Linked DNA regions of Diceros bicornis minor. The protein of the gene in region 1 interacts with the protein of each later gene in a pairwise test. Links are inferred from orthologs where the notes say so. Each region holds a gene or a part of one and is shown in the gene's direction. Other genes may lie near its edges.

Evidence for each region. The genes of interacting proteins can lie anywhere in the genome.
Region 2: the proteins of EXOC2 (region 1) and RALB interact in a two-hybrid assay, tested with the Homo sapiens proteins (2 studies listed by BioGRID). The link is inferred for Diceros bicornis minor from reciprocal best matches to the Homo sapiens genes EXOC2 and RALB.

The regions. Positions count from the first base shown.
Region 1 is NC_080753.1:65,647,073-65,654,682, forward strand, and holds the start of EXOC2 (exocyst complex component 2), read left to right. Parts: upstream 1-4,600; 5' UTR 4,601-4,678; intron 4,679-7,610. UniProt on the Homo sapiens protein: Component of the exocyst complex involved in the docking of exocytic vesicles with fusion sites on the plasma membrane.
Region 2 is NC_080749.1:12,473,131-12,480,856, reverse strand, and holds the start of RALB (ras-related protein Ral-B), read left to right. Parts: upstream 1-4,713; 5' UTR 4,714-4,852; intron 4,853-6,954; exon of another isoform or gene 6,955-7,047; intron 7,048-7,726. UniProt on the Homo sapiens protein: Multifunctional GTPase involved in a variety of cellular processes including gene expression, cell migration, cell proliferation, oncogenic transformation and membrane trafficking.

The DNA.
Region 1 (7,610 bases):
ATAAAAGACTCCAGCGAGGAATGACAAAGTTGGATGGTAATCAGTGAAACATTTCAATCATTCAAACATTGTCAAGATTTATATTTCAAATTTTGCTCATCTTTTTGTACCTTTAAGTGAGCATTAAGCATATTTTGAAATAGATAACTGGAAACAGGCATCTCCCCCAACTCTGCCACTATCATAATGTATTGTTATTATTATTATTATCTTTAGCTTTTCATGCAACACTTATTTAGTGAGCATCTACTGTGTGTGAAGCATGGGTGAACAATACAAAGTCCCTTCCCTCAGGAAGCTTATATCCTAGTGGGAGGAGACAACAAAGAGTAAGCCAACAGACAATATCTATTTACAGGTTGTGGTTAGTGCTCTTACTGGGGGGCCAGCCTCGTGTATTGACTACCTGCTCTGTAAGGCTCTGCGGTACATATGACAACAAATAAGACAGCAATCTGCCAGCAAGGGGCTTAGAATTGATGAGTTAACAGAAGACCAACAATTGTCAGTCTTTGGTAAAAAGGATCACTAAGATATGGCAAATTACAGTTGTTTTGAGGATTAGATTCTATACTAATATGATCCATTACAAACTGATATACCATGCAGTATGAAACACTCTAGGTGCTCATTTAATGTAAAAAATATATATACAAAGAACAGGGAACTGTGTCTGTCATAGTGTTTCCTAAGACTGAAACCAAAGGAATTTCATGCTTCATAGTTATTTTTTCTAAGTCAAAATAAATTTGATGCAGAATTGAAAACACAAAGCTGTATAACAATATTTAATTGACTCACCAGCTACTACTGTAATTTTAGGCTTAATGATTTTATTTGCTGCCAGCTTCTGTATATACTGCACTAACATTTGCTAACTGGCTTCAGAATACGGACCAGAAATTTAAGAAAAAAGAAAGAAAACACCATCAGTAATTTTTATATTAGTGAAAGGTTTTCTTTCCTCTTTTGAGTATTTTTGTTTCAGGGATACAATATTATTTGTCATTATTTTGATCCAGGAAAGATCTGTGTGTTCTCAAGAGCCATTCATACCAGCTTAATGGCAGGATCACCTAACTTGAGAAATGGTGTGTCACGCAGACCCAAAAGCGAGACAAGAAAAGGGTTTGGTTTCACAGTGAAGTGGGGTACCACTGCCAGGATACAGAAAACAATTTCCTTTCAACCTCTGCTGCCAGGTCTCTGACTCACGTTTCCTGTGTGTTTTAGAATGGATGACCCTAGGACAGTTGAGTTATTGCATGCTGGAGCGACTTTGACATGTCTTCTGATGTAAAGGAGAGAAAAATGAAGTCATGCTAAGTCCCACAACTCAAAGCATCTGTACAAAATATCATCTTCTTTTTCTCAGGATGTATTTCTCTAACAGGTGTGCAATTCAGCACATAAAGATATTTGAGTTGTAATAAGTATAGGCTGTTTTTGGTCTATAATAATGACTATTTAGGCTGGATTCCCCCAGAAGCTGACCCTGAGATATGGTTTCAAGGGCTAGTATCTAACTTGGGAGGTGATACCAGGAAACACCAGGAAGGGAGTGGGTATGCCAGGTGGGAAAGGGAAGGAAGCCAATAAAAGATGTGCTGTGAAGGCATTCCCGAGGGAGCTCTGAAAATACCCTGGATAACATGCCTCCGAACTACCCTGGGAACGGCAGCCCAATAGTTATACAACTATCTTTGGTTGAAGCCTACTTTTGGGCCGATGAACTTGCCAGTACTTCCAGCTTCCCCTGCATTGAGAAAGAAAGCCCTGAGGCACCGAGGGGCAGGTGTTCCCAGAAAGAAGCCTTCTGAGAGCAGAGGGCACAGCAGAGGAATATGGGTAGGCTCTGATGGCCTCTGCCACTGTCCATCCCTCGCATGCTGTGTTGTGTTCACGCTGTCCTGTCACTGACTCCTCACACTGATGTCCCATCACACTCACATCTGGAGCACTGATAGGTCGAGCTATGGGCTCCTGCTGCCGTTGGTCCTGAGGCCATTGTGATTCTCATAATCTTCTTCCTTTATCACCTATTCTAGATTCCCCTCACCCTTAACTAGCACTTCCGCTGGCCCAGGTTGCTTGCTTGAAGTGACCCAGACCTTCGTCCCTGTAGGATCTGAGCCTCTGGTTGCCATGCCCTTGTCAGGCCAGGGTTGCTGCATTGCGCATTTGCTGATATCACCAGGCATAGAAAAGATGCCCAGTGAGTGCCTTGAGGTCCAGAAATAATCCTCCCTGCTCCTATATCCTCCTGATCGTAAAGGTCAATTTTTTTGTTTCCTGTATGAGGATCCCAAACGAGGAGAGGGCTTTAGATATAGTGGAATCTTGTGTCCCCTGGCAAAGCATCCTCTCCTGCCATAGGAGCCAGGACTCTATTTGGACGCAGCACTGTACGCTGGTATTAGGTTCAAAATATATACTACATCCCATAGCACAGCAGCTCAATGCTGCAAAATGTTACCCCTAAGCTGGAGCCTTAGCTGTGCCTTTAAGAGGCCATTCTAATATTCTATCAGGGTGTCAGCTTCTGGGTGTGTGATGTATGTAGAACCATTGGCTCTTGTGGTATTGTCCCCTTTGTCATACCTCTTTCACTCTTAAAGGGGTCCCTGGTCCCAGGTGATACTATGGGAAATTCCATGATGATAAATCCGACCCTGTGTGAGCAATTGGATAGTGATGCTTGCCAGGGCCCTGCAGGCAGGGAAGACAAACCCAAACCCAAGATATGTAACTGGGTCTGAGGAAATCACCTTGCCACCAAGGAGCTGCCTGGTCTCCTCGAGGGAAGGTATCATACCTCTAGCTGCACATTGGCCTCTGCAGCTGGAGGGGGAACACACTGTCTAGATCTACCTTGTTAAGAGGGGTCCGTGCAGCTCCATCCCTGCCACCATGGCTACTCCATTCATAGGCCCATTGTACAAACCCTGGGCTGGCCCAGGACAGAGGCTGGTCAAATCATTCTGGTGCCCCTCTGCTGTGGATGCTGTCTGGTAGGCATTCATGTGAGACACACAGATTGGCCAAACACAAAGTTTGTGTAAGGTGTAAGTGTGAATTCCTGGGCTAAGAGATGGCAAGACCCCCCACCATGGTTGTGCCTCTGCTCCACAGCTACCCTCCTCTCCATTCAGCTGTAGCAGGTTACTCCAACAGGTCTCCTACCTTTGGGAATTTCTAGAAGGGAAGCAGGTAGCACACTCTTGATCACATACAGTCCCAGTGGTAGGCCAATTCTCCCAAGAACGGGACCCCCCATGCTCACCTCCACTCTGATGGCAGCAAGCACAGGCTCCTGCGTGTCTCAGGTCAGCAAGCACTAACCTGGCTTAGAGCCAACTGGGTGAGTCTCTTCTAAGCTTCGAAGAGGTGTCCGACCCCGGTTGTTTGGGGCTCTCTTTAAAATGTGGAGTGACTTTAGGGTTACTATATACTGTTGAAACAAGGACACTTGACCATGAAAGGGACACTCAATAATTAAGCCAGGATAACAGACAAAAACCAGGGTTATCTCACGCAGAGTGGGACATGTGGTCACCCTAGTTATCTGCCCCCTTTTCCAGTCTAAGTGGCCAATTCCAGGACAGCCAGAAAAATCCCTCTAAATATCCTGTCACTCAGCTTAAACTCCATGGTTCTCCATAATGTCATTTCTTTGCATAGACCCTCAAGTCCTTTGCTCCCTGCTCCTGCCTATCTCCAACCTAGGTTACAACTAATTTTCTGCTAACTCTCTATCTGCACTAGAGCAGCCAAAACATACACATGCTGACTGGTCCCATTTTAAACTTAGGACTACACATCCCAAGGGGACTTTCAGCTTTGCCTGGAAATCCTACCACATTTTCTTAGTAATTTTCTTCACAATATTCAGGATAAAGATTTCACCCTTTCTCCTTCCTCCTCACACCTCCCTTGCCCTGCATCCTCTGTTTTCATGGATGATCTTGCTGCTGCTTTCGCTAATAAAAGAGAAGTAACCAGAAGAGTATTTTCTCATCACTTTCCCCTGTCCCCACCTTTGTCCCCTTAGTGCAGACCACCATCATTTCTTGACAAGACTGCTGCAGTCGCTCCCTCAGTGCCATCTCTTTTCCTCTTGCCATGCCACGGTTTATCCTCAGCCCAGGGAGATCCTGACAGGAAGTGACTGCCTTTATTCGCCTGTGCGTCTCTAGCGCCCTGCACGGCGCCCAGCCGGTGGAGGTGCTCACTAAGTTTGCCGAACTGAAACGATCACACTCAGGGTTTCCAGGCTGTAGACTGGCATTCTCCTCCGCAACGTCCATGGTCCTGTGGCTTTGTGTGTCACCTAGCCTCCCAGGGCCTCGTTGGAGCCAGTGTCCTGACCCGCTGCAGCGTCCTGGCTCAGGGCAGGGCCCACCACAAAAGCAACGAGTGCCATCCTCCGGCGTCTCTGGCGGGACCCGACGTCGCGGGGCCGGAGGGTGCACACGGCACGCCCCCACCCCAGTGCGGAGCCCGCCCCGCCCCTCCGCGGAGGCTCGGCCATCGAGGACTCGGCGCTCGACTGCGCGGCGGATCGACGCCCTCGGCGCTCGCGGGGCGGAAGTGCGGCGCGGCGGTGGGGCGGCCGGCCGGGAGCGCTGGCGAGAGGGAGGCCTGGCGGCGCGGCCGGAGCGCGGCCAGCGGGCGGCAGGTACGTGTCGGAGCCCCGCGTACCGGCGCAGGGCCAGTCCGGGAGCGCGGGCCGGCAGGGCGGCGGGCGGCCTGCCGCGCGGGCGGTCGGAGGAGGCCCCGGCCCCGGCCCCGGCCTCTGCCGCTACCGGGCCGCCTGTGGGGAAGGGGCGGTCGCCACCCGCGCCGGCGGCACCCCCGGGTCTCCGCGTCCTGGCCGGGCGTTGCCCCGACGCTGACCCTCGGGGGTGGGCGTGCTGGCCTCCCCGGCCCCTCGCGCCCTGTGCGGCGGTCCCGTGTAAGGCTGAGGGTGGGGTCGTGAACAGCGGCGTGAGGCGGTTTCGCCTCGGTTGGGAGCTGTACCTGTCAGGTTCCTGACAGGAGCTGGTGCCTGTCACCGTTCTCAGCGTCTGCGTCCCCTGATTGACGTAATGCCCGAGAGAGTGGATGCTGACGTAGTGTCCCGTTTTACTGTTGGGGACACGGGAGCTCAGAGTGGTCAAGTGCTAGCCTGAGGTTGTATACTCCTCGGTGTTTGAGCTGCCCCTGGGACCATGCAGCGAGGCTCCAGAGCCTGCACACCCAGCCACTGTGTTCTCTCTCCTCTACGCCCGCTGGTGCTGAACTTGATACCCCAAGATTTTGCAAATAGACACTTTGTTAATTCCAAGAAACAGTTTTTGAAAGAGCTTGTCTTTAAATGGGAATAATCTACTTCTAATCGCTAAAGGTCAATCATACTAATAACTATGAGAAAATTTGTTTCTTTTTTTATGAATCTGAATAAACTTACAAGGAAACCGTTGAAAAATATTTTAAGAATCAGCCACACCTTAATTAAATCGTTTGGGGACACTGTATTGAAAAGCTAGTTCTAACTGAGGTTATGTGCATCCGTCTCCTAATGCATAATAATATTTTGTTTATAAATGTTAGTACATATATTCTGGCCAGACTTTGTGTAACTGACTCTAATGTCAAAGGAACTGAAAGCCAAAAGCTTCCCAGGGATCATCTGTGTGTTGAAAGTTGTTGACTCAAAGGGTGGTAATAGAAAGAGGATAATGTGTGCTTAGTACTCAAATGTTCTCTTCTGTTGGATTAAGTAGAAACTTAATAATTTTAAGCAGAGAAGCAGAGGATCCCCCAGAGTAAGTTGGAACAACTCTTGGAAGTTTCAGAAAGTATATATTTTTTCTTGTCAAGTGTTTAATATCCTGTACTGACTATCATTTTGAACTATATTACCTTTCTAAAAGATGGTTATTAACCTGCTGAGTTAAATTTTCATTCATTCCACAAATATTTGAGAGCCTGCTGTGTATGAATCTATGAGAAATGAAATTGGTACCCAAAAATTTTTGGCAAGACAGTCTTCTAATAAAGGACTTTGACAATTTTTGGTGTCAGGCACGGGCAGGATCAGGCCATATGGGAAATGTGGGTATGCAGTTCATCTCTCAATTTCTTTTTCACTCCTTCTCCAGTTTAGTCATCTTTGTCAGCCAGGAACCTAGTATAGCACCCGACACATAGTAGGAGCTTATTGAATGGATGAGTTTTAGGTCAGTAATGAGTAGAGAGAATTTTGAAATTGACTGGAGGAGAAATAACATTGATCACTCTGCAAAGCAGTAGTCTACAATGTTGATTGTTCTCAGACCCTGGGGAATATGTTCATGGCTCCCCTGGAGTGCCTGGTAAAATAGCATGGTAGTAGTGTTCCATTATAATCACATGATTCAGTGTGTTTATGTTAATTTAAAAGAATTATTATTGATACAAACACAAAGTAATTGTAGAGAAATTATGACTCTTGAAGCTGTGGACACACCCATAGGCATCCTTGGACTTCAGTTTGAAATTATGGATTCAAAAGGTATTTTGGTTTAGGAGTCAAAGCAAACATTTAGTGGTCCATGTGCTGCCACCCACCTGCTTCGTAGTGTGGGCTGTTACTTAGCTTCTTTGGGGTTCAGTTTCCTTTTTCCTGTAGTCAGAGAATACATAAAACTAGATTATCTCAAACAGTTCTTCTGGCTTTGAAATTTTCCAACTCAGTGAATCCTGTAACCACTTAGCACAGGGATAACCCTGTGTTGTCTTCAGGGCTATAGCTATTGCTGGTATTTACATATCTGTCAAAAGACTAAGCTCTTGCCAGACAGGGCTTAGTCTCAGTCATTTTTGTGTCTGCCAATTTTAGCATATGCCTGACACACACATTAGAAATAAAATAGTATTAGCCTGGATTCAGAAGGGGTGTTTTTGCCCTCTAGATTAAAGATTAAAGAATTGCTGAGAACTAAACTGTAGTATTGAGTGTAAGTACAGCAGGAGTTCAGAGAAGGGAAGGATCTGTTGGGGTTCGAGTTGTTGGGAAGGCTTCATGGAGGTCAGACCTTGATGGAGAGGATGTGGTCCTTTGGAGGGAGGGCATGTTAACATCTGGCGGCATACCAGGAACAAAGGCCACATTTTGGATTATGAAATGCCTTGAAGGTCAGGCACAGGAGTTTGGACTGATTTACTAGGCTTTTTTTTTTTTTTTCTGGAAAATTGTATTAGGCTTGCTCAAAAGCTTCATGAGTATTCTTTAACTTAATGTTGTTGGTAGCATTTAAGACTGGGGTGGATCATACAGTTGGCTTTATTTTTGGTTTTGGCTTTAGTAATTCCTTGTACTTACTATTTCCCACTTAAAATAAATCTTGGTGCCAATAATGGAAAGAACAGTGGACACTGAAATTTGGGAAGCCTGGATTTTAGTTAATTAGAATGTAGTTGCACCAGGTGGATCCAGGCAGGCCTTCACGTGGCGCCTGGCACAGTTAGCCTTCGGTGCTCCTTGGGCAGCGCCGAAGGACTGCTCTCCTTGCTTCCTGCTAGCTGTGCTGCTTTTGGCAAGGTTGGCACCTAGTTTCATCTGTAAGCTTTGATGAATTTTTAAAGTC
Region 2 (7,726 bases), on another chromosome or scaffold:
TATCTGGTTATCTGGAGGTCAGTATCAGGTCTGTGGCGGCTGTTGACTGTGCAAATTTTTGGAAGTACGGAGCACGTGTCTCCACAAAGAGGGAAGGGGAGAACCTGAGCCGGCATGTAGTAGGGACGGGAGATAATGATGAAGACTTATTACTCAATGACAAGACAGACTTGACTTTATTTCTGGGAGATAACTCTTTGTAAGCTATGATGGCAAAAAGATAAGTCCAGCTAATTCAATAACGGAAAATAGACATGAACTATTTTTTTCTAACATGTTTCCCAGGTAGATTAATTCTTTTGGAAGATGAAAGGTTTATCTTCTATGTAATTACTTGGGCCTCTGCCTTTCCAGCAGAGCGATTCCGGGAACATCTGTTTAGTTCCTGCTGGCTGGCTGGGCCTGTAGAGCCCACAAAGAAAGATGGTAATAGGGAAAGAGAAGCTCTCATTAAAACACTTAGCAAAAGTGGTTTTCAAAACCCCCAGTAAGTCTTTTACAGTGGCAATAACTAAATTGAGCACCAAAGTCAAGATTTTGGATACGTTTGGGAGTAAGTAAATACCAGGGGCTTTTCTTGGTAGCTGCCAGCAGAAGGCTGCAAGGAAAAGGCGGCTTGGGGCTACTGCCCAGGCTTTGGAGGAGGGTTCCAGTAATGTATTACCTTACCTGTTGCCTTGGGTGAGAACTCGAGAGTTGGAAACTTTTCCTGAGGAGGGATACATCACTCCATTCTAGTAGTGTGAATTAAAGATCTGTGGTCTCTGCCCCCCATACTTCTCTTGATCTAGGACATTAGATTTTCATCCACTGGATGATACAAATGCCCAGGAAGGAGTGGGTACCCACTGAGCTGTCATCAGTCATTTATTCCTGCGTGTGAATGAGCCTATGAGACCCGTTCCCGAGAATAGAACGAGAGAGCAAGAAGTGGACAGAGAACATTTGGGCCCTGAGGGGTGGAGAAACACAGAATAGAAAGATGACTGAAGAGCTGAAGATGAGCTCCATCTAGTTTTGCTGTTTACAGTAGATTCTTCCCATTTTCTTCAGTGGGCAAGAATGGCTTTTTTTTTTTTTTTTTTCATTTTTCCATCTGTAGATTTGTGGCTCCTTTCTTTTCTAATCACCAAATACCAAATGCCCACAGGGATGTCGGAGCTTGTCAGACTCTTTCTAATAATACCATCTATTTATATAATCCTGCAGCTCAGTGGAGCACGTCTCTGATGCTGACTGATGTTCTAGGAAACTGGTCAGCTGCCTTCTCCACACCCTCCTCCATTCCTGCCTGGATTTTGAGCACCCATATCCCTGGGGTCAAAGCACCTCTAGGGGTCCTGACTTCCAGCCTTGCCTCTGCGTCCTCTGGGATTTGGCAGGAGGACTCCTGGTTTAGTCATCAACTCTCTTGCTCCCCTCCTCCTGCAGTCTCCCCAGATCTCCTGTTACCGAGGGCAGACTACCCTTTCTAGCCTCGGCCCTGTGGACTCCAGTTTGCTTGGACTCCCAGAACAGCCTCCTAATCTCCATTCCCACATCTGCCCCTTGCAGCAGCCAGAGTGGTCTTTTTAAAACCTCAGTCAAAGCATGTCACCCTCCTGGCTCGAACCTCCTCGGTAGCTTCCTGTCACCCTTGGAATAAATTCTAATCTCTTTATCATAACCCATAATCTGGCTTCTACCTCCCTCTCCCCTGTCCTGCGGCCTCACTCTCCCCTGGGCTCACGCACTCATCCAGTCTCCTGTCTGTTCTCAAGTGTACCAAGCTTTTTTCTGCCTTAGGAGTTTGTGCATGCTTGTCCTCTGTCCTCTCCTTCTCTTCACTCCCAATTTTTTCCAAGATTGATTCCTTTTCATCCTTCAGTTCCCAGTTTAAATGTCACCTCCTAAGAGAGACCTTTTTTGACCACTCAGTCTCAAGTAATGACACAATTTGTAATTATTGAGTTGCTTGTTTGTTCCCTGGGTTATTGTCTATTCTCTTGTCAGAGTTGTTCAACACTGTGCCCCCAGCTTGGCACACTTTAGGGCCTTGTAGCAGTCAGAGCAGGCTCAGCTAGGCGGCAGTGATGAACAACTCCCAAATCTTAGTGCCTTCAAACCACAAAGGTTTGTTTCTTAGTCATGCTAAATGTCATCGCAGGTTGGCAGAGGGGCTGTGCTCATTGTAGGGTCTCAGGCTGGTGGAGCAGCCACACTCCCAAACATTCCCAGTGACTGTCCCATAGAGACCAGAGCTCTGGAGGGTCTCGTGTTAGCAAATAAATTCTCCAGCCCCAAAATGATTTATGTGTCACTTCCGCTCACAAGTCACTGGTTAGAGCTAGTCACACAGCCTCACACAATGACAGCAAGCTAGGAAGTTCAATCCTATCCAGTGCCCAGGAGAGAGAAGTGGAAATATCTGCCCAACAGCAGTAAAGACTCACACAATACTCAGTAAATACTTTTGAAAATGGGAGTGTCTAGAATGTTCTTTCCACAGCTACAGTGGGTTAGAGGGACCTTACAGGGTCCTGCTGGGGATCTTGTATTCCTGCTGCTTAGGCCCCTGGCTCTGCCGGGAGTCAGAATTCCCACAGGAGAAGCTCAGCAGATGAGAGTATCCTCTGAGACCTGACATGAGCAATCCCAGTGGCAGTCGTGGCCGGTGGCCTCTCAGTGCTCTTCCCCTGGTGGGACATGTTCCTGGGCTCGTGTCCTCGGTGAGACAGTCCCTCACTGTCTGGCAGGGTCCTTTATTCCACTCTGAATCTACCACACTCAGCTAGGGCCTGGCATGTCCAGGAGCTGAATAGATGATCCTACTGGTGGAGTCCCAGTAGAATCCCTGAGTACAGGGCCTGAGGTTTGGAGTTGAGGGGTGGGAGGCAGAGGATGAGTGTAGCATTTCTCAAAAAGCCCAGTGCATCCTGCATAACATCACATTACTAATACAAAGGAATGGCAGTTACACAGCCCAGGAAAGTGAGAAAACCCCCTGTGCCTGCTGTGGGTCCTGGGGGTGTGGGAACAGGAAAATCCTGGTCTGTCCATGACCCTGATCCTGTTCCCTTAACTACTGATTTCCCTTGGGCAGGCTGCTGCAGCCAGGTCTCCTGTCTAAACTTGCATTTGATAAAACAGCATCACCAGAGCAGGTCCTTTTCACCAGGCTGCACACACCACTGGTTGCTCTATGGTGGTGTCCCACAGTCCCAGATACAACAGGCCTTGAGAGGGAATGCTGACCCTAGGTTGGTTATAACATGCTTAAGTGTACATCTTGGCCTCTGGTGGCAATCACAATTTAAGCTAACGTTTGTTGAGCACTCACCAAGTTCCTAGTACTGTACTGAGAGCTTTATAGGTAATCTCATTTAAATCTTCACACCTATAGTGTGAAGGTACTGCTCCTATTGGGCAGCTGGGGAAACTGAGGCCCACAGAGGCTAAGTAACTTCCTAATTAACTGCTGCTTATATGGCAGAGCCCTCCTTTGAACTTATGCTGATTGCAAACCTGTGCACTTAATTATTACTCCATAGGAAAAAGACATTCTTCTATTTACTAGGATATTCTTCTGGTTACAGTTTTTTGTTAAGCCTATTACTTAAGACTAAAGTAAATCTTCTGTGCTTTTTGATACACTTGGTGGTGGAGGGCCTGGACCTGTTAGTTGATTATACATAGCAATCTAATCAAGGCACAAAGCCTCGCATATAATACACATGTATCCTAATGTTTAATTATCAACAACGAAGGAATTAATTACACGGTGCTGCTACTGTGGATATCAAATTGAACAAGAGAGTTTCCTTCCCTAGAGATTATAGAGGCTGACATTTAAACAATTAATTGCGATACAGTGTTGCGTGTAGGGGTCAACGGGGCCACAAATCCTGCGGAGGCAGAGTGAGGGGTTGGGGGAAGATTCAGCTCTAGGAAGGTGCGGTTAGTTAGGAAAATCAACCCAAGGTTAAGCTCTATTTGGATAGAAAATTACAAGTTCCCGGACTTTGCAGGACAACGACGGGGGCAGGTTGTGGGAGAAAAACCTGTCTGTCGGCCATGAGCTTGTCTACTGCATTTCCTGCCTCAAGGCTACCGCTGGGGTTAGGACTCTGGCCCTTGTATGTGACCTGGGTCAAGTTATTGCTAGGCATTGGTCAAGTAACTGCATTACTGCTAATGGGATGTCATTAGCCAAGCGAGTCGTGGCGGCACGAGGAGCTCCCGCCTCAGGAGCCCCTGGCCGGCGTCCCGACAGCCGCCTGGACCCTTCGACACCCGCGCACTATATCGTAATTTTCCTATGTTTCTCTAGATCAGGTCTGCTCCTCTCTTTTGCTTTCCACTACTTTGGCCTCGCCCTGACCCAAATCCAGGAGGGGAACGCCCTCCGCCCGCCCAAGCCGGGAGTCCCCAGACCCGCTCCAACTCCTTCACTGCAGCAGCGGTCACGTGCAGCCTGTCCGGCCGCGGAAAAGAAGAAGGAAGTGGAGGTGGGTGGGGCAGGCGCGCCGAGCCCGCCCCTCCCGCGTGAGACGGCTTCTCCTTGGCGAAGCCTTCTCCACGGCCTCCCGAGGCTTGGAAGCTCCGCTTCGGATTGGCCAATAGGCTCTCGATGGGCGTGGCCTCCAGGGAGAGGGCGGGAACGGAAGAGAGGGCGCGCTCCCGGGAGGCAGGGTTGCCTAGGCGACGCCGGGGGCGCGCTCGTGGGGTGGGAAGGGAGCCGGGGCTGCTCAATGACAAATCGGCAGGGGACGGCTGGGGTCCGGCCCCGCGAGGAGGAGAAGGAGAGGGCGGGGCGGGTTTAAGAGCCGCGGGCCTGGTGCGGACGGCCAAGGCGACGCGGGACAAGTCCCAGGTGAGCGTGTCCGCGCTCTGGCAGGGCCCCCTCCGGGCGGGGTGGGGCGCGGGCTGGGGAAGTAGGTGCGCCGCCCTGTGCTGTGGCCGGCGGCCGGACACGTCGCGCCCGGAGCCTGGGGGAAGGCGACGCCGGGGCAGTGGCCCCGCTCGGCTCCGGGCGGTCCTCTGGAGAAAGCCTCCAGGCCTCCCAGACTGGCTTGGGGCTGAGGAAGTGGGGGCGGCGCCCCAGCCTCTCCCTTTTTGCCGCTCCTTTCCTTTTCCCACAAATGGCCTCTGCTTCCACTTCCTGCCCTTTTGGGCCTCCAGCCCGAGGATGGTCCACTTCCTTAGTGCCTGAGTTGCGGCTGTGGGCAGGGTCAGGGCCATAAGTGTTGCAAAACTTATTAGTACCTTAAGAACTTGCACTTGGACTGAAGTGGGGCCGTGTTCCAAAAGTTGTTTGGTCTAATTGTTTGTTTTTGTGCTCCCTTGCAACTGAGCGTAAAGTTGTTTTTTTGACTCCCCGGCCCCCCGGTTCCTTACTGATAGGGGCTGGCACCGAAGGTGGCGTCTGATAGAGAGCACCATGGACTTGAACTGTTTGTCTGGACGAGGCTGCAGCACCTCTCTTCTTGCCCTCTTGTAGGTGTACTATAAGGTTATCCGTGGTTGGTTCAGAACTGCTAGTGGCGGACGGAGCTGCGCCCAGGCTGTTTGTTTGAGCAGTGTGCTTTCTGTGCTAATTTTCGGGTGAATACTGGAAACGTTGGAACTTGGATGTTGTTATCAGGTGACTCTTCTGGGGAGAAGTTGTGTCTGGTGGACTGATTGAGGACTGCCAATGGTGGAGACTTGGCTGTTTCTTCATTAGAGTTATCTGTGACTCTATTGCAACCCTCGAAGAACAGTGAACCTTCTGCTTTGTCCTAGTTTCCTAATCTTCCTTCTTTTTGTTAAGTTTTAGGGATGGATAGCGGGCACTGATTATCAGAGGGGCTAGTGTATCTTTTAGATGTGTAAATGACCCATGTTCTAGGCAGAGCAACAAGATTCTTGGATGTCAAAGCTCGAAACAGTTAAAGTCAATGTTCCTTAAACCTGAAGCAATACAATTAGAATATTGAAGTTCTCAGAAAAATGGGGTGGCAGTGAAAGGTAGTGTTGACTATTGGGAAGAGGAGGAGGGCAGACTGTGAAGACCTGGGTTTGATGCTGGTTCTGAAATTATTAGTGGTGTGATCTTGAGCACGGCCTTTCAACTCTCTGTGCGGCAGAGTCCACAGCTGTAAAAAGGTGATAGTGGGTATCCTGCTTGTTAGGATTAAGCGAAATAAGGAATGTATAAGGTGTTCTTTGTGGTGGTGGGGGTGGGATGAAGGTAGGGGTGGGAATAAGGCTGGGGATACACATCCCTCGTGTGTGGTTTTAGTCGTGTCAGCTAGTTTGCTTTCTTCTGACCACATCTGGGTCTTTCCTTCCTTTTCTATTCATGGTATTTCCCATTGGAAACAGTAGATGCTCTTATCTGAGATCTCAGCAAGATTTCCCTGTGCCCGAGGAGTAGAACCTTTCCCAGGATTTTGTGTGGAAAAAAGTAGGGGTATAAGTTACTAGATACCTTTTGGGAATATGGGACCTAGACACATAAAGATAGGAAAACAAGAATTAGAGCCTTAAATGAGATCTAAACGGGTCTTGGTGGAAGAAGTGGAAAGGTTCTCAATTCTTGTGTTAATTCTTCAAGGTTCTTTCCTTGGCTGAAGATGGCTTGAGACTCTGGAAATTTTTAAACCAGAGAGTTGACATCATCCTTTGTGCCACATCACCCACTCCCACAATACCTCTTTGCATTCAGTTACTAAATTCTTATCCACTCATGGAATTGATGTAAGTTAGAAACATCATTGGAGACCTTTTCTTGAAAGCTAAATTTGGAGACAATATAACAAACCAAAACTACAGTGTTGAAAGAGATCTTGGTGAACTCTTCTGAGGTTTCCAGTGTAATTTTTCTCAGGATGATATGCAAGAGTCCCATTTTTCTTTGGCTCCGATGACTTCTAAACAAATAGCCCTTGCTGTTAGATATGCAAGATACTTGGATTTTTTTTTTTTTTTCAGTGAATACATATTGCTGGGGTGTCTGAATCAAAGAGAGTGGAGTACCAGAGAAAATGGAACTCTTCCCTAATCGTGTGGAGGAGAGTGGAGTGGGTAAGGAGGTAGAGAGAAATTGACATTTATTGAGCATCGGCTGTCTGCTTGGCACAGACTCGCTGATCTAACCAATACCAGATAAATATCTGGCCTTGGAGATTTGACCATGAGCTGTTTCCTTTAGCTCTTCTGTTCTTTTGGTACCTAGGAAGACAAATAGGCATGTATATGTGTACATATCCGTAGATGTTCCAAAAAGTAGGCCAGTAGGCAAGAAGCTATATGAATTTTTGGATGAGTGAGAGCAGAAAGAGAGCTGAAGAGAATATGGAAGCTCAGTGTCAAAGAGGAAAGGTATACGTGGTTATTACAGCAACTACAAAATGCCAGCCAGCTCTCAATTTCAAGTTTTTGTTGCTCTGAAAAAAGTAACTGCTTATAATTTTCCTGAGTGTTGTCTCTTATGGTTGTAGACTCTTTTGGGAGTTTTTGCTTTTTTTTTAATTGAAATCTAAATGAAGAAAAAGGTGCTATTGATAATTGCTAACACAATCATGTGTCACTTAATGATGGGGATATGTTCTGAGAAATGCTTCATTAGGTGATTTTGTCGTGCGAACATCATAGAGTGTACTTACGCAAACCTAGATGGTGTAGACTGTACACGCCTAGGCTGTATGGTACTAATCTTGTCGGACCACCATTGTATGTGGTTTGTTGTTGACTGAAGTGTCAT